Linked DNA regions of Lonchura striata. The protein of the gene in region 1 interacts with the protein of each later gene in a pairwise test. Links are inferred from orthologs where the notes say so. Each region holds a gene or a part of one and is shown on either strand. Other genes may lie near its edges.

Region 1 (7,081 bases):
CCCTAAGTGCTCCACTGCCTGTTATAAATAACTGAGCAATCACCAGTTATTAAACCATAAGGAGGAAGCCAAGAAAAAGTCTCTCAAATATGCCTCATTTTGCCTACTGTAGGTCCAGTCTCATCCATCAAATGAGAAACAGATTATCATCGCTATACCCAAACAATAAATGCTGTTTATTCAGTGAAAATACTGTTTATAATGTCATGCTTGTAACAACATCATCTTCACTATAGCATTTCTGCCAACTCTGTAGACCTCATCTCCACTCCCATTCCCTAAATAATGGTTATCTCTTTTCTTCTACTTACTGTCTCATTGTGGCATGAGACATGTTGCCCTGATTTTCATATTCCAGGAACTCTGGCATAACAAAGCTTTGCAATTATTTTTCATCTAAAGTTAATACTTAATTCTCTCCCTGTTCATGTCTATTTTAACGCAAAACTGCTTTTATTTCCCTCTCAGCATTCTAGCTGGCTGTAGAAGAATTATCTCAAATAGAGCAGGGGCTGCGGGCTGTGTAGAATAACACAGCAAGTAGCACATTATGTTATTCTGGCTGCTCAATTTACGTGTTAGCCTGGTTTTGATAATGAGACAAGAGGAAGAAGGGTTTGGGTGAGTTACCCATCTGTGAGAGTCAGTACCTTAAGTGGCAAGCTAAGGCAAAGAACTTCAGAATGAAATTACAGAAAGTGAAATTTATCACAGCTCCTTACAACCCCACTTCAGATAACTGTATTAACAAGACCCTGAGGTGCACAACAGAACAATCCAAATAATGGTGATTTCAAAATGCCAATGTAGAAAACAGAAATGCAACTCAGAAAAACATGTGGGGAGGTGTGTTTGTTTGGGGTGGGAGAAGGGGGAGTTGGGGGTTGTTTTGGTTTGGTTTTTAACCATTTTCCTACTGCTAATCCACACTAAATTCTTTAGGATCTGTGAGCAGTTTGGCAAGTTACAAAGTCTCAGGAAGGCAAAAACACTGCTTTTGGTAACATTTATAGCTAATAAGAATATGTTTCCCCCTCTAATAGACGGCAGAAACTACAATCTAAATCAAAGATATACTAAGTAATGAACAGAAAAGACTCTTATAGAAGTCATTCTTCACCCAAATATGGTCACATGTCTTTTTCTAACCCCAGTGTCAGAATAATTTAGAAAGTTGTACAAAATGAAAAGGTAATTCCAAATCACCATGTGGAACAGAGATAAAAGGAGGCTTATTTAAGTGACTTGTAAAGCTGCTTGCACCTAACAATCTTGTACATCTAAGAAATCTCTCTTTTATATCTCATGTCTTGCTTTCAGATGTGCAACAGAAAACTGGTTTATTTTCACACTTTAAGTATTTTTAGTCTGCTTCCTAGATTGGTTTGAGTGATTCAATACTTATTGACAAGTTTCACACAATTAAAAGTGCCTATGTAATTAAAAACAATTACAAGAACCTGAAACCAAGCTGGTTCATTAAGGAAAATATATTTTGCAGTTTTCAACCTAGAGCCATTCTGGAAAAGGTATGAACTACTCTATTAGCATGTAGGTTAAAAATGCTGAAGTAGTGTGACAGAACAGCACAAACCCAAAGGGTGTGTGTCTAGTGTGTCTACATGGCACTATGATGCTGTTCTCAAACACCCAAAGCTCCACAACTGAAATCAGCAATAACAACTTCAGCAAGGTGAGGCCCATGAGTCACCCTGAATAGAGCAGTAAATAAACCTATTTCTTGAACTTCCTTGACACAGAACAGCATTGCAGTTATGCAGGTATGCACAAAGCACCCTAACAGCAGCCTAGCAGCTACAGAACACTGAGATTCTACTGTAAGATGACTTAGATCACTCCTTTGCATAAATGGTTAAACAGAAGTCTTCTAGTCTAGTACCCACGGCAAGACAGGTTTTCCATTTACAGCAGTGTTTCTGTACTCTTGTTCCATTTTTACTTACAGAAATGGCAAAATCATGATAGAACAAACAGCACAAAACAATCTGATCCATTTCTGACCTCCCTTGTACAAGAAAACCACAGAAAATTATGTATACCTTTATAAGAGTTATCGAACAGTCTCTTGGACCTAGGAAGTAATGGCTGCAGTTTCACTTCACAAACACTCTTGAACACAATCCAAATGCTTACTACTCGTAATTCATCTCCTTTTCAGCAATTAAATTAAGTCATATTGACTTTATTCCATCCTAATTATTTTTATTTGACACATTAACATCAAATCACTTTGCTCCTTAGTTTCCTGGAACATCAAGCCGTTACAGGCAGCTTAAAAAGGATGTAGTCTTCAAAGGAGTAGCTGCTTCACAGGTTAAAAGATTTTCATTTTATGTAGGGAAACATTGTCGACGCTACCTAATTTCAGAACAAAAGCTAACATTCGAACCAGCTCGCAACGTATCAGCGTCACTCCTTCCCATTGTTGGGAAACGAGCATAAAATAAGGATGCTCACATCGATCTGTGAGCAAAACAGGTTGGTAATGGGTGAAGTCTATCACAGAGAGGCTGGACACCGCTCACATCGCCAAAGCGGACAGTGGAGGAAGGAGGCGGCAGCTCAGCTCCGGCCGCGCTCTCCATCACCTCCGGGCACCGGAGGGATGCTCCCTGTGCCCGGAGGGCTCCGCAGCCCTCCCACCTCAGGGCCCACAACCCCGCTCTGTTACGGTCCGGGGCTGCTCGCCCCAGCCAAGGCGGACACGGAGCCGCTGCGAGCCCCCTCAGCCCGGCCCAGCCCGGGGCCGCTCGCCGCCGTCCCCGGAAAGGCCGGGCCGCGGCCACCCCGGCCCGCCGAGCCCTCCCCGAGCCGGGCCGCAGCACGGCAGGGAGAGAGAACCCTCGGGAAGCCTCCGCGCCGCGCTCCTCACCCAGGTACTCGGCGCCGGGCAGCGAGAGCCGCTCGGGGCTCAGCATCCTCCTCCCGCCGCTCCTTCCCGGCTTCCGCCCGTTTCCAAGGCGCCCGACGCTCCCGGCGCGGCTGGCGGTTCGCCCCGGCTGGGAACACGCCCCTCGCCGCCACAGTTCCGCGCCCACAGCCGCCGGCAGCCCCCTCGCCCGGGCCCTCGGGGGCTGGGCGAGGCCGGGAGGGAGCCGCGGGAGGGACGGTGCCTGGGGCCGGCGGCGGCGCCCGGAGCGGGGCTGCGCGGGCGCCGCGGTGCGCCATGCCCCGGGCGGCTGCTCCGCGGCCGAGGGACGCCTCGGAGAGGGGAGAGCGAGTGAGCAGGCTCCCCCGAAGAGCCCAAATTGCTAAAGCAGAGGCACGTGTTGTCTCATTTAGACAAGCTGCTAGGGGTTATTTAGGACTAGGGCTGTGGGGGGAAAACCTTGATTTGAAGGTGAATTGTAATAAGTTAAAATCATACAATATTCTGAGTTGGAAGAGACCCATCAGAATTGTCGAGTCTAGCTCCTGGCCCTGTGCAGGACACTCCAAAAATCACACCATGAGCCTGAGAGCATTGTTCAGATGCTGCTTGAACTCTGCCAGGCTTGCTGCTCTGACCACATCCTTGGGTTAATGATGTGTTGCAGCTGTGTTCCAGAGACCAATGACTGAAAGTGTGGCCAAGGAGATCCTTTAGGCTTGTGTCCTTCTGTCCATACTATCCCAGAACTGGAATTTCTGCATCCCTTGTGCTCAGGAGAGGTAGGTATGGGGAGCCTCATGAATTGTTGCTTCTGTAGATTCAAGCTGAAATGAGCAGAAAAGTCCTGAGTCACAGGGCTCTTTCCTTTCTTGCCTGGGAGCTTGTCTGGGAATGGCCATTGTATCAGGGATGTAGGAGTAGCAGAGCTCTTCATGTGGCTGGAAGCAAGCCTGTTGGACTCCTCTTTCACAAAAGCTGATGTGGCAAAAATTCCCAAAATACTTTGCAGTTTCTTTCATCAGCATTAGAAGAAATAACAGCCCAGGATGTAATCCTGGAAGTATTACCAAAAAAACCAACCAAGCAACCAGACAAAAAAGGACTGCAGGTGTTGTCCGTGTTTTTAATGACAAATGCAAAACAGAAAGTAACATTTGTACGTGCATATGATCTGCCTTTATTCCACTAGAGGAAAATGCTGAGGCATTGGCAACTCAATTTTAATCTATATTTAAAGGACGGAAACCTTTTAAAAGAGCAAACAAGATGCTATAACTTAAATGTTAATATCCCACTTAAGATTGCCTGGATCACTCCTTTGTCTTTTGTTCTGTCTTTAAAAGCATATAGCTTAGATATAAATATTTCAAAGATGAGCAGAGAGAATAGCTTAGGGAGCAGACAATGAGACACTCCAGCATGAAGAATGATTGAAAAAATGTAAGATTGTCTTAAAGAGGATACTCATGAAATTATGTTACCTAAAATTATTTGTACTACAATGAAACTCATTCAAAACTCCAGTTTGCTAAGTTATGGCGATAAATTTAAATATGGGATTTTTTTAGTGATAGATACAATTAGCTCACAGCATACATTGATACAAGATATTTTTGAGCCCAGAAATTCAGCAGAATTTAGAAAGGAACTATATTCAAGCAGAATGAGAAAACACAGGATTATGTTGTTACACACATAAGCAGTGTCACCGGTGTTTAAAAACCTCTTCTGTAATGCTGGTCAGCTGAGCTGGTAGGAGTCTTCTACAGGTTGTGTACTGTTTTCTTTTTGTTGTTTAAACCATTTCTGTAAACCAGAGTTTAGCTTTGATCAGTATCTAGAGCACTTATTTACAAGAGGCCAATAAAGTCCAGTTTTGAATACTACATATTCTGACATCTCTCTGGTTTTTCCTTGGGGTGGTCCCTCCCCTCCTCTCCTCTTCTCCCCTCTCCTCCCCTCCTCCTCTCCCCTCCCCTCTCCTTTTTTCTCACTTGGTCTCTATGGGTTAGACTTTGTTATTTCTTCAGACCCTAAGGGAAACCTTTTGGACACTGGTCCCAGTTGCAGTTTTAATAACAATAAGTTTCAGTAGTAATGGTGCTTGACTGTTAACAACTTCAAGAAAATTTTATAAAAACAAGATGTCATTTCTGAAGCTATTTATAGACTTTCCTGTTTACTATTATTTCTCCTTTGGCTTGCCAGAGCCTGGATTAGGTGATATAACAGATCAGCAGCATTTTCTTGTTCCCTCACTCTCATGACCTGAAAAGGGAGAAATGCTGCCAGCCTGTCCATAGGTGTTAAGGTTGTTTTACCAACTTGAATTTAGAACCCTAGACTAGTGCATTTTAATAAATTGAGAAGGCTTTTCTCGGCCACTGGAAACCATGTGGAGGTTTAATAGCTGCCCCCAGAGGGGCACATCTAACAAGAGCTTAATGTTCTTTTGGACCCAGCTGGAAGAATGATGGAGAAGAAAATTTCCTGTCACAGCCTCTTGGTAGATTATCAGAGGTACAGATCTCACTTCAGGGCAAGCCTATGGAGCACACTTTTACTGTCTACCCTGGGAATCATGGTGGTGCTTAACATCTCGTAGCTAAAATTGCTGCATTTTCTTTACCAGGGACATTTGGGTATCCAGATCGGTCTTTCAAGGAAGATAAGTTGGATTACATTGGTACATTTTGTGCACACCCTCTTTCAGAGGTAACGTGATCTTGATCTGATTTAGCTTAATTCACTTTGAAGTGTGGTTTAAGTACAGTTTCAGAAATCATGTTTAGTAAACTGTTAGTTATGTAAGAGACCATGTGACCACAAGTTTTAAAATAGTTAGTGGTGTAATTTAAATTACATGATGAAATAAAATGTCTTTATTATGTTAAGATGCATGGACTGAAAATCTTTCCTGTGTAAGTTTTGTAAGTGTTTTTCAGCAACTTAGCTAAAGTCAGATTTCTGGTTTTCTCCAGAAACACATACTTTGCCCCCACTATATTAATTGCTTAGCTTACTCTCAGCCGATTTTATGTTCATCTTCCTGAATTATACTATCAATGTGGAACTGAAATATTTTCCTTTTATTAACAAAGTTATCCTGAGAAACAGCTCCTCTTTCAGAGAGTGTATTATATAGAATAATAAACAGGACTAGATAGCAAGAAAAAAATTCCAGAGGAAATGCCTTGTTTTAAACAGCTTGCGTACCTTTCACCGGCTTCTTTAACTTTTCTTGGAATTAAATGTTTCATTTGCTTAGAATTTTAACAATTATTACTACAGTAGTTAAAATACAGTCTATTAGGTGTATTAGAGGAAACAACCTTTTTTTCCTTCAAGTGACTGATGGAAATGCTGTTGCTACAATGTACAAAGAACTAAGCTGTGGGCAGTCTTCAGTATTGTTTCATCTGACTGTGAAATCAATGTAAGACAGTTTCATAGAAACACTAGGAAAATGTCTCTAGCCTTTCTTGTTTATCCTGTTTTAAAACATAGTTAGCTAAGAGCCCCTCTTGTGCAGAACTCAGCTTTTTTGATTTTGATAGTGCTTTGTGTTCTTTGAGGCTTCTCATGTATTTTCCAGATGAGCTTTTCCTTGTACATAATAATTAATAAAATTGCAGGTGTTGTAACAAAAAGACACATGAAAAACAAATTATACTGTGAGGAGAAAAGCATTGAGTTAAATAACTGTCAATCTTTATTGATAATCTATTATTTTGGGCACAGTAGCAGAGATAAGTTTTGAGAAGAGATCTGAAGAAATGGAGAATAAGAATTTCACATGCTATTATTTATGTAAATGATGGAAATCTTGTAAGTGAAATTAGAATTCTATTTTGTAAGTAATTTTAAAAATCAATGGCACTAAAGCTGGATGATTCATATATGAGTCAGTTGCAAACCCATAAAATCTCTCATTAAATTTTTGATTTAATAATTATTTATATGGATTGTGACCAAACTCTCTAAACACATACACTAAAAATAAGATTATCTTAAATAAAATGGTCAGCCAAAACCACAATGAAATTATGTAATGAAATCCATGGTTTTATATTGTTGGTTCCTCAGGAGTCATTTACAAAAAAAAGATCCAGTACTTGTAGTGCTTCTCATAATCTGAGCCTTCTCAAACTGAATGAACTGTTTATCTGGTTCACCTGTAGCACAGTG
Region 2 (7,918 bases), on another chromosome or scaffold:
CAGGGAAAGTTGTCCGTGCTCAAGGGGTGACAGCAGCTGTAAGGTCCCTGCCAGGCTGGATCCCCCCATATTTGCTGTCACCAGTGAGTCAAAAGGGGAAGCTCTGTGCTGTTCTCAGATCCTGATGTGTCGGGGTTTCAACCTGGCAGCCAGACCTAGCTGGGCTGGGGCTGACCAAAACCAGGAACAAAGTACAAAAAGAAAAGCCCCAGCCACCAGTCTGCAGCATTTCCTGCTGGGCACAGCCTGGAGCTCTGTGCCTCTCCAGGGTTTTCACCTCTAATCCATCCCCTCTTGGGTCAGGAATAAGAAGATTTAAACAGCTGAGCTCAACACCCCCGATTTTGGGTCCTGGGGGAGGTTTCCTGGGTAAACCCTTGGCAGCTCCTGCTCCTTCCAGGTTATTCATTTACACAAAGAACCAAAATCCTGCTCAGCCCCATTCCCAGCCTCTTCCTCACAGAGCTTCCCAAGAGCTGCTGAGCCCTCAGCAGCGAGGCCAGGCTGTTAAATTAATGCCAAATTAATTGGGTAGGGGCACCCCAAATGGGCCTGGCACAAGGACAGAAACTCCTGAAGACTTCAGGACTGTTTAATTAATGCCAGACCAGCACTGCTGCTGGTTTTACTGGGATAAACTAAGCCTAGAACCTCAGCCTATCCATCTTACAGCTCCTGGGGTGGTTATTCCAGAGGGTGGGGGCACCCCAAATGAGTCTGGCACAAGGACAAATGATCCTGAGGACTTCAGGGTGTGTTTAATTAATGCCAAACCAGCGCTGTTGCTGGTTTTACTAGGATAAGATAAACCTATAACCTCAGACTATTTTACAGCTCCTGGGGTGGTTATTCCAGAGGGTGGGAGAAGGATGGGGAACCTGAAATGAGTCTGGCAGAAGGACAAATACTCCTGAGGACTTCAGGGTGTGTTTAATTAATGCCAGACCAGCACTGTTGCTGGTTTTACTGGGATAAACTGAGCCTGGAACCTCAGCCTATCCATCTTACAGCTCCTGGGGTGGTTATTCCAGGAGGTGGGAGAAGGATGGGGCATCCAAATGATTCTGGCACAAGGACAGAAACTCCTGAAGACTTCAGGACTGTTTAATTAATGCCAGACCAGCACTGCTGCTGGTTTTACTGGGATAAACTAAGCCTAGAACCTCAGCCTATCCATCTTACAGCTCCTGGGGTGGTTATTCCAGAGGGTGGGGGCAACCCAAATGAGTCTGGAACAAGTACAAAGGATCCTGAGGACTTCAGGGTGTGTTTAATTAATGCCAAACCAGCGCTGTTGCTGGTTTTACTAGGATAAGATAAACCTATAACCTCAGACTATCTATTTGACAGCTCCTGGGGTGGTTATTCCAGAGGGTGGGAGAAGGATGGGGAACCCCAAATGAGTCTGGCAGAAGGACAAATGCTCCTGAGGCCTTCAGGGTTGTTTAATTAATGCCAGACCAGCACTGTTGCTGGTTGTACTGGGATAAACTGAATTTATAACCTCAGCCTATCCATCTTACAGCTCCTGGAGTGGTTATTCCAGAGGGTGGGAGAAGGATGGGGAACCCGAAATGAGCCTGGCACAAGGACAAATGCTCCTGAGGCCTTCAGGGTGTGTTTAATTAATGCCAGACCAGCACTGCTGCTGGTTTTACTGGGATAAACTGAGCCTGGAACCTCAGCCTATCCATCTTACAGCTCCTGGAGTGGTTATTCCAAGAGGTAGGGGCATCCCCAAATGAGCCTGGTAGGACAAATGCTCCTGAGGATTTCAGGGTGTGTTTAATTAATGCCAAACCAGCGCTGTTGCTGGTTTTACTAGGATAAGATAAACCTATAACCTCAGACTATCTATTTTACAGCTCCTGGGGTGGTTATTCCAGAGGGTGGGAGAAGGATGGGGAACCCGAAATGAGCCTGGCACAAGGACAGAAGCTCCTGAGGACTTCAGGGCTGTTCAATTAATGCCAAACCAGTGCTGCTGCTGGTTTTACTGGGATAAGCTGAGCCTGGAACCTCAGCCTATCCATCTTACAGCTCCTGGGGTGGTTATTCCAGAGGGTGGGAGAAGGATGGGGCACCCCAAGTGAGCCGGGCAGAGCTCCAGCATCCCCCGGGGGCTCGGCGGAGAAGGTCTGCCAGCTAACACCCCACAAAGCCCGGCGACAGGCGGCTGCTCCCACCCCGGAATCCCAAGCCACCGCCGGGGGAGCGGGGCGCGGTGCCGCGGGACGAGGGCGCGGAGCGCTCCGGGCTGGGGATGCGCACCGGGACGGGCGCGGCGCCGGAGCCCGGGAACCGCCGGGAACCGCCGGGAATCGCCGGGAACACCCGGGAAACACCCGGGAAAACCCTGGGAACACCCGGGAAACACCCGGGAAAACCCTGGGAACCCCCGGGAAACACCCGGGAATCGCCGGGAACACCCGGGAAACACCCCGGGAAAATCCCGGGAACCCCCGGGAACACCCCGGGAACCCCCCGGGAAACATCCCCGGGAATCACCCCGCGAAACACCCCGGGAGCACCCCCGGGAAAACCCCGGGAACCCCCGGGAACGGCCGGAAACCCCCGGGAACACCCGGGAATCGCCGGGAACACCCGGGAACCGCCGGAAACACCCCAGGAAACACCCGGGAACCCCCCGGGAAAACCTCGGGAACCCCCAGGGAAAACCCCGGGAACCGCCGGGAACCCCCCGGGAAAAACCCGGGAACGGCCGGGAACCCCCCGGGAAAACCTCGGGAACCCCCCGGGAAAAACCCGGGAACCGCCGGGAACCCCCCGGGAACACCCCGGGAACCCCCCGGGAAGCGCCGGAGCCCGGGGAGGGTCGGGCTCACCTCCCACGGTGGATTTGTAGTGCCGGTTGAAGCTGTCGTTGGCGTAGCGCTGCACCAGCGAGGTCTTGCCCACCGTGGCGTCGCCCACCACCAGCACCTTGAACATCCGATCGCGCTGCCCCATCCCGGCCCGGCCCGGCCCGGCCCCGTCATGTGAGGCTCGGCCGGGGCGGCGCCCGAGCCGCCCGCGGTGCCGGGATCTGTAGTTCGCTGCCTTGAGCCGGAGCCAGCGTCAGATCCGGCCCCGCGCAGCGCCTGTGCCAGCTGGTCCTGCTGCGAGCACCCCCAGATCCTGCTCTGAGCACCCCCAAATACTGCTGCGAGCACCCCCAAATACTGCTGCGAGCACCCCCAAATACTGCTGCGAGCATCCCCAGATCCTGCTCTGAGCACCCCCAGATCCTGCTCTGAGCACCCCCAAATACTGCTGTGAGCACCCCCAGATCCTGCTGTGAGCGCCCCCAGATCCTGCTGTGAGCATCCCCAAATACTGCTGTGAGCACCCCCAGATCCTGCTGTGAGCACCCCCAAATCCTGCTGTGAGCAGCCCCAAATCCTGCTCTGAGCACCCCCAGATCCTGCTGTGAGCAGCCCCAAATACTGCTGTGAGCATCCCCAAATACTGCTGCGAGCACCCCCAGATCCTGCTGTGAGCATCCCCAAATACTGCTGTGAGCACCCCCAAATCCTGCTGCGAGCACCCCCAAATACTGCTGCGAGCATCCCCAGATCCTGCTGTGAGCACCCCCAGATCCTGCTGTGAGCACCCCCAGATCCTGCTCTGAGCACCCCCAGATCCTGCTGTGAGCACCCCCAAATCCTGCTGTGAGCACCCCCAAATCCTGCTGTGAGCATCCCCAAATCCTGCTGTGAGCAGCCCCAAATCCTGCTCTGAGCACCCCCAAATCCTGCTCTGTGCATCCCCAGATCTGCTCTGAGCACCCCCAGGTCCTGCTGGGAGCACCCCCAGCCCCATGCACCCCTGTTCCCCCAGACCTTGCTCTGTGCACCCCCAGATCCTGCCCTGCACATCCTCTGAATCCCCAGATCCAGCCTGTGCACCCCAAATTCCAGCCCCAGCCCTGTGCACCCCCAAACTCTGCCATGCACACTCTCTGTATCCCCAAATCCAGCCCTAAAACCCCAAACCCCACCCTGCACATCCTCTGAATCCCCAGATCCAGCCCTGTGCACCCCAAATTCCAGCCCCAGACACCTCTGCACCCCCAAATCCAGCCCTGCACCCCCAGATCCAGCCCTGCACATCCTCTGCAACCCCAAATTCACCCCTGTGCTCCCCAAATTCCTGCCCCAGGCACCCCAGGACCCCAGGCCACGCTCCCTGCACCCCACAAACGTGCACAAACACCTCTCCCAACAGATTTCCATTTTGAAACGAGGTTCCCTGTTGCTGGGATGTGGGAAATGACTTTGTAGAGTTTTTAGGGTGTGACAGAAAGTTTGTAAAGCATGTATTTGTATGCAAACTCTGAGACAGGAAATGCTGATTTGGAAATGTTATGGAATAGCACAGATGTTGCTGAGACAGAAATTGAGCTAGAAAAAAGTTTCAAAAGATGATTTTGTAAATAAGATTAGGTACTTTGGAGAAATAGAACTATGAAAGGTACAATGTAATAAGATTTATGAAGAGCAATTTTAGATAAATAACTTTAAAGTATCTACAGCATAGTGTAACGAAATGTTAATAAACTACAAAAACACTTATAGTGTTTTGTAATTAAGAAATAGCTTCTAATTGTAACAGCATAAATCACAACATTTACATTGTCTCACCTTTCTCACAAGACTAAAAATAAAATAAAAGCTTTGAAAACACCTCTCAGTTACCCCATCTCTAAGTCAGGAAAAGGTTTTATCCAACCCTGCCAGCAGAAACACCTGGATTGCCAGGAGAACACCTGGATTGCCAAAGAAACACCTGGACTGCCAGCAGAACACCTGGATTGCCAGAAACACCTGGATTGACAGGAGGAACACCTGGACTGCCAGCAGAACACCTGGACTGCCAGGAGGAACACCTGGATTGTCAAAGAAACACCTGGATTGCCAGGAGGAACACCTGGATTGTCAAAGAAACACCTGGACTGCCAGGAGGAACACCTGGATTGTCAAAGAAACACCTGGATTGCCAGGAGGAACACCTGGATTCCTGCCAGGACCCTCCAGGAGCTGCCAGGACCTGACCAGGGGCAGGGCCGAGGTCACCTGGCACTCACACCAATCCCACCTTGCTCCATGCCCAGCAATTTATTTGATTTTCTCCTATCAAAAGAGCTTCAGCCTGGGCTCAATAAGCTTCAAAACCTGAGAGGGGCCTTCAGCCTGAAGGAGAAAACAAAAGAAACCCCACCACAGTCCACATAAATAAATGTCATCTTTATTTAACCAAATATAATTTATCCATTAGGTCGACATCTGTCAGTTATAGGAACTATAAATAATTAAGACAGTCTTTTTCCTTTAATAAAAGAGTAAACCAGGATTTTCATCTGCAGGCAGCTGTAGAGTAGGCATGCATTGGAGTGCAACCAGTGGGAAGAGGTTTGTTTTTTGTTGTTTTTTTAATCAATATTCCTCATTTTAAATTAAATTCTTCCCTGACCATTCCCCAAGCACACCTTTGACCATATTTAATGTACAGACCCTCCCAGCCCCAGCAGCCCCCACCATGAGAGGCAGATTCCTCCTCTAGGGAATCCTTTCCTGGGGGATTAAGTGGTGATGTGACACCAGACAGGCCAGCAGAGCTGCCCTCTGTATCCATGAAAGCTGAAGTGTTAATGGGAGGAAGTCTAGCATTTATTCCTCAACATCAGGCAGAGAAATCAGGTGAGCAGCTGAGAATATTCCAGGAAATACTCCAGAAAATATTACAGAGAATGCTCCAGAAGTCCCTGGGCTGAGAGTTCAGCACAGCAGGAACAAAGTTTGTTTTGTGGTTGTTTTTTTTTTTTTTTTTCCCTTTGAGCACAGCTTTGGCCAAAGGAGATCTGAGAAATGTCCCCAGAGGGGACAGAGGAGGGTCAGAGCTGCTCCCACCCGGGACACAGAGCACAGGAGGAGGGGGACTGAGCCTGAGGGTGGATTAACAAGGGGAAAAAGGGGGAAATCATCCCAAAATACAACACCTGCTCTTCTGAGGGGCTGAGAAGGAGCAGCCTGGAGCCCAGCCCTGCCTCCTGCACAGCACCAGCAGCAGGGAAGGGTCTGCAGAGCTCCAGCGAGGGCTGGAGCAGCCAGGAGCCCTGCTCTGGCTCCACCTGCCCCGTGATCTCCAGAACTTCATCCTGAGCCTCTTTTCCAACTCTTCTCTGGAGCTGGAAAAGAACTTCATCCAGAACTTCATCCTGACCTTTTCCAACTCGTCTCTGGAGCTGGAAAAGAACTTCATCCAAACTTCATCCTGAGCCTTTTCCAACTCATCTCTGGAGCTGAAAAAGAACTTAGTCCAAACTTCATCCTGACCCTCTCTAACTCGTTTCTGGAGCTGGAAAAGAACTTCATCCAAACTTCATCCCGACCCTCTTTTCCAACTCGTCTCTGGAGCGAGGCCCAGCTCTGCACGCAGCTCCTGGCCTGGCACAGTGAGCCTGGACTAACTTTGGTCTTGGTTTGCCCCTAGCTCTGGTTTTTGCTGCCCTGCCAGCGTGGCCTAAGGGGAAGAGCAGGAATTCCAGGCAGCCCCGAGGAGAAGAGCACAGGAACAGGAGGGGAAGCAGCAGAGGAGGGAACCCTGCACTGCCAGGGCTCAGCCGGGCCCCCCCAGCTGGGCTGAGCCCCCATCCCAGCTCCACACACGGGCAGGGGGGTTCCTGTGCCACAGAGCTGCCCCAACAGCCAGGGCTCCACTCATCCTGCATGCCCAGCTGTTTTGCAGCTGGCACGGAAATCCCACAGACACCAGGAGCAAAATGCTCCTGCCCAGGGGAACAGCCCAGGGATGGCAGGATGGAAAAATTGTGTGTCCAGGTGTCCAGGAAGAGTTCCCCAGGGATCCCTTCCTGCCTGCAAGGGCCCCGTCAGCAGCCAAAAGGAAAGCTGGGCACAGAACCAGGAGCTGTTTGTCCATCCATGCGCCCCTCTGGGTGCACTGAGGGAAAGGGAGCAGCACAAGGAGGGCTCCAGCAGGTCCTGCAGAGGGTCCCTGGCAGTGGGGATGGTGTGGGCAGAGCTCCCAGCCCCTCTGGGAGAAGCTCAGAGCAGCTGAGCTGGGCTCACCAAGGCAGAAGCAGCGTGGGTGGCAAAAGGGAGCCTGGAGCTGCCAGCAGAGCCCAGCCAGGGGCTCTCAGATCAGCTCACTCACATTCCTGGGGTGAACACAGGAGCCTTCCTCATCACCCTCCTCATAGACACTCCCCATTTTTGGATGTGGGCCCAGGCTGGAGCTTCAGAGAGCCAAGGCAGGGCTACCCCATGCCCTGAGCCATGAGGTTGCACTTGGCTGGAAGGTGCCAGCTCAGCTGAACAAACCTGAGCTCGACCTGCAGGGTTTAAAACGCTTATGAAGCGAAAAAAGCAGCCCTGCACCTCGAGGGAGGGGGCAGGGGGGGCTCCCTGCATGATCCGACTGAGCAGGAACTTCACTGGAACCTTGGTTCAGACATGACTGCTACGAAAATTGCACTTAGTGATTGTCTCGTTACACTTTTTGTTTGTTTGTTTGTCCTTCCTAAAACTAGATCGATTTTTCTGTACAAACTTGACTTGAAATATAAACCACGTAAAATTCCCATTGAAAATAATGAGAATCCGGTATCAAAGGTGAAATCTTCCAGGATGGGGGGGAGGTGGCAGGAGGGGGAAGCAAAGAAACAACAAATGGAAGGAGGAGAGCTGCGGGAAGGGAGGAGCAGGGAGATTTAATCCCCAACATCGGAGTCCCGGTCCCCGATGAGCCAGAGCACGTGGAAGCTGAGGGCCAGGAGCCCTGTCCCAATGAGGTCCCCCAGAGCTGTCAGGTACGGGATGGAGAAGTTGTCGGGGTCCAGGTGCCTGCCCCACATCCAGTGCACCATCCAGTCAGCGATGTAGAGCAGGATCAGCACCTG

What was found.
Region 2: the proteins of CSTPP1 (region 1) and RAB29 interact in a two-hybrid assay, tested with the Homo sapiens proteins (2 studies listed by BioGRID and IntAct). The two-hybrid records come from large-scale screens. The link is inferred for Lonchura striata from reciprocal best matches to the Homo sapiens genes CSTPP1 and RAB29.

What each region holds. Positions count from the first base shown.
Region 1 is NC_134608.1:38,958,510-38,965,590, reverse strand, and holds the start of CSTPP1 (centriolar satellite-associated tubulin polyglutamylase complex regulator 1), read right to left. Parts: upstream 3,012-7,081; 5' UTR 2,940-3,011; coding exon 2,894-2,939; intron 1-2,893. UniProt on the Homo sapiens protein: Regulator of the tubulin polyglutamylase complex (TPGC) that controls cytoskeletal organization, nuclear shape, and cilium disassembly by balancing microtubule and actin assembly.
Region 2 is NC_134632.1:2,615,771-2,623,688, reverse strand, and holds the start of RAB29 (ras-related protein Rab-7L1), read right to left. Parts: upstream 3,015-7,918; 5' UTR 2,971-3,014; coding exon 2,847-2,970; intron 1-2,846. Other genes in the region: SLC41A1 (solute carrier family 41 member 1), read right to left, coding at 7,730-7,915. UniProt on the Homo sapiens protein: The small GTPases Rab are key regulators in vesicle trafficking. Essential for maintaining the integrity of the endosome-trans-Golgi network structure.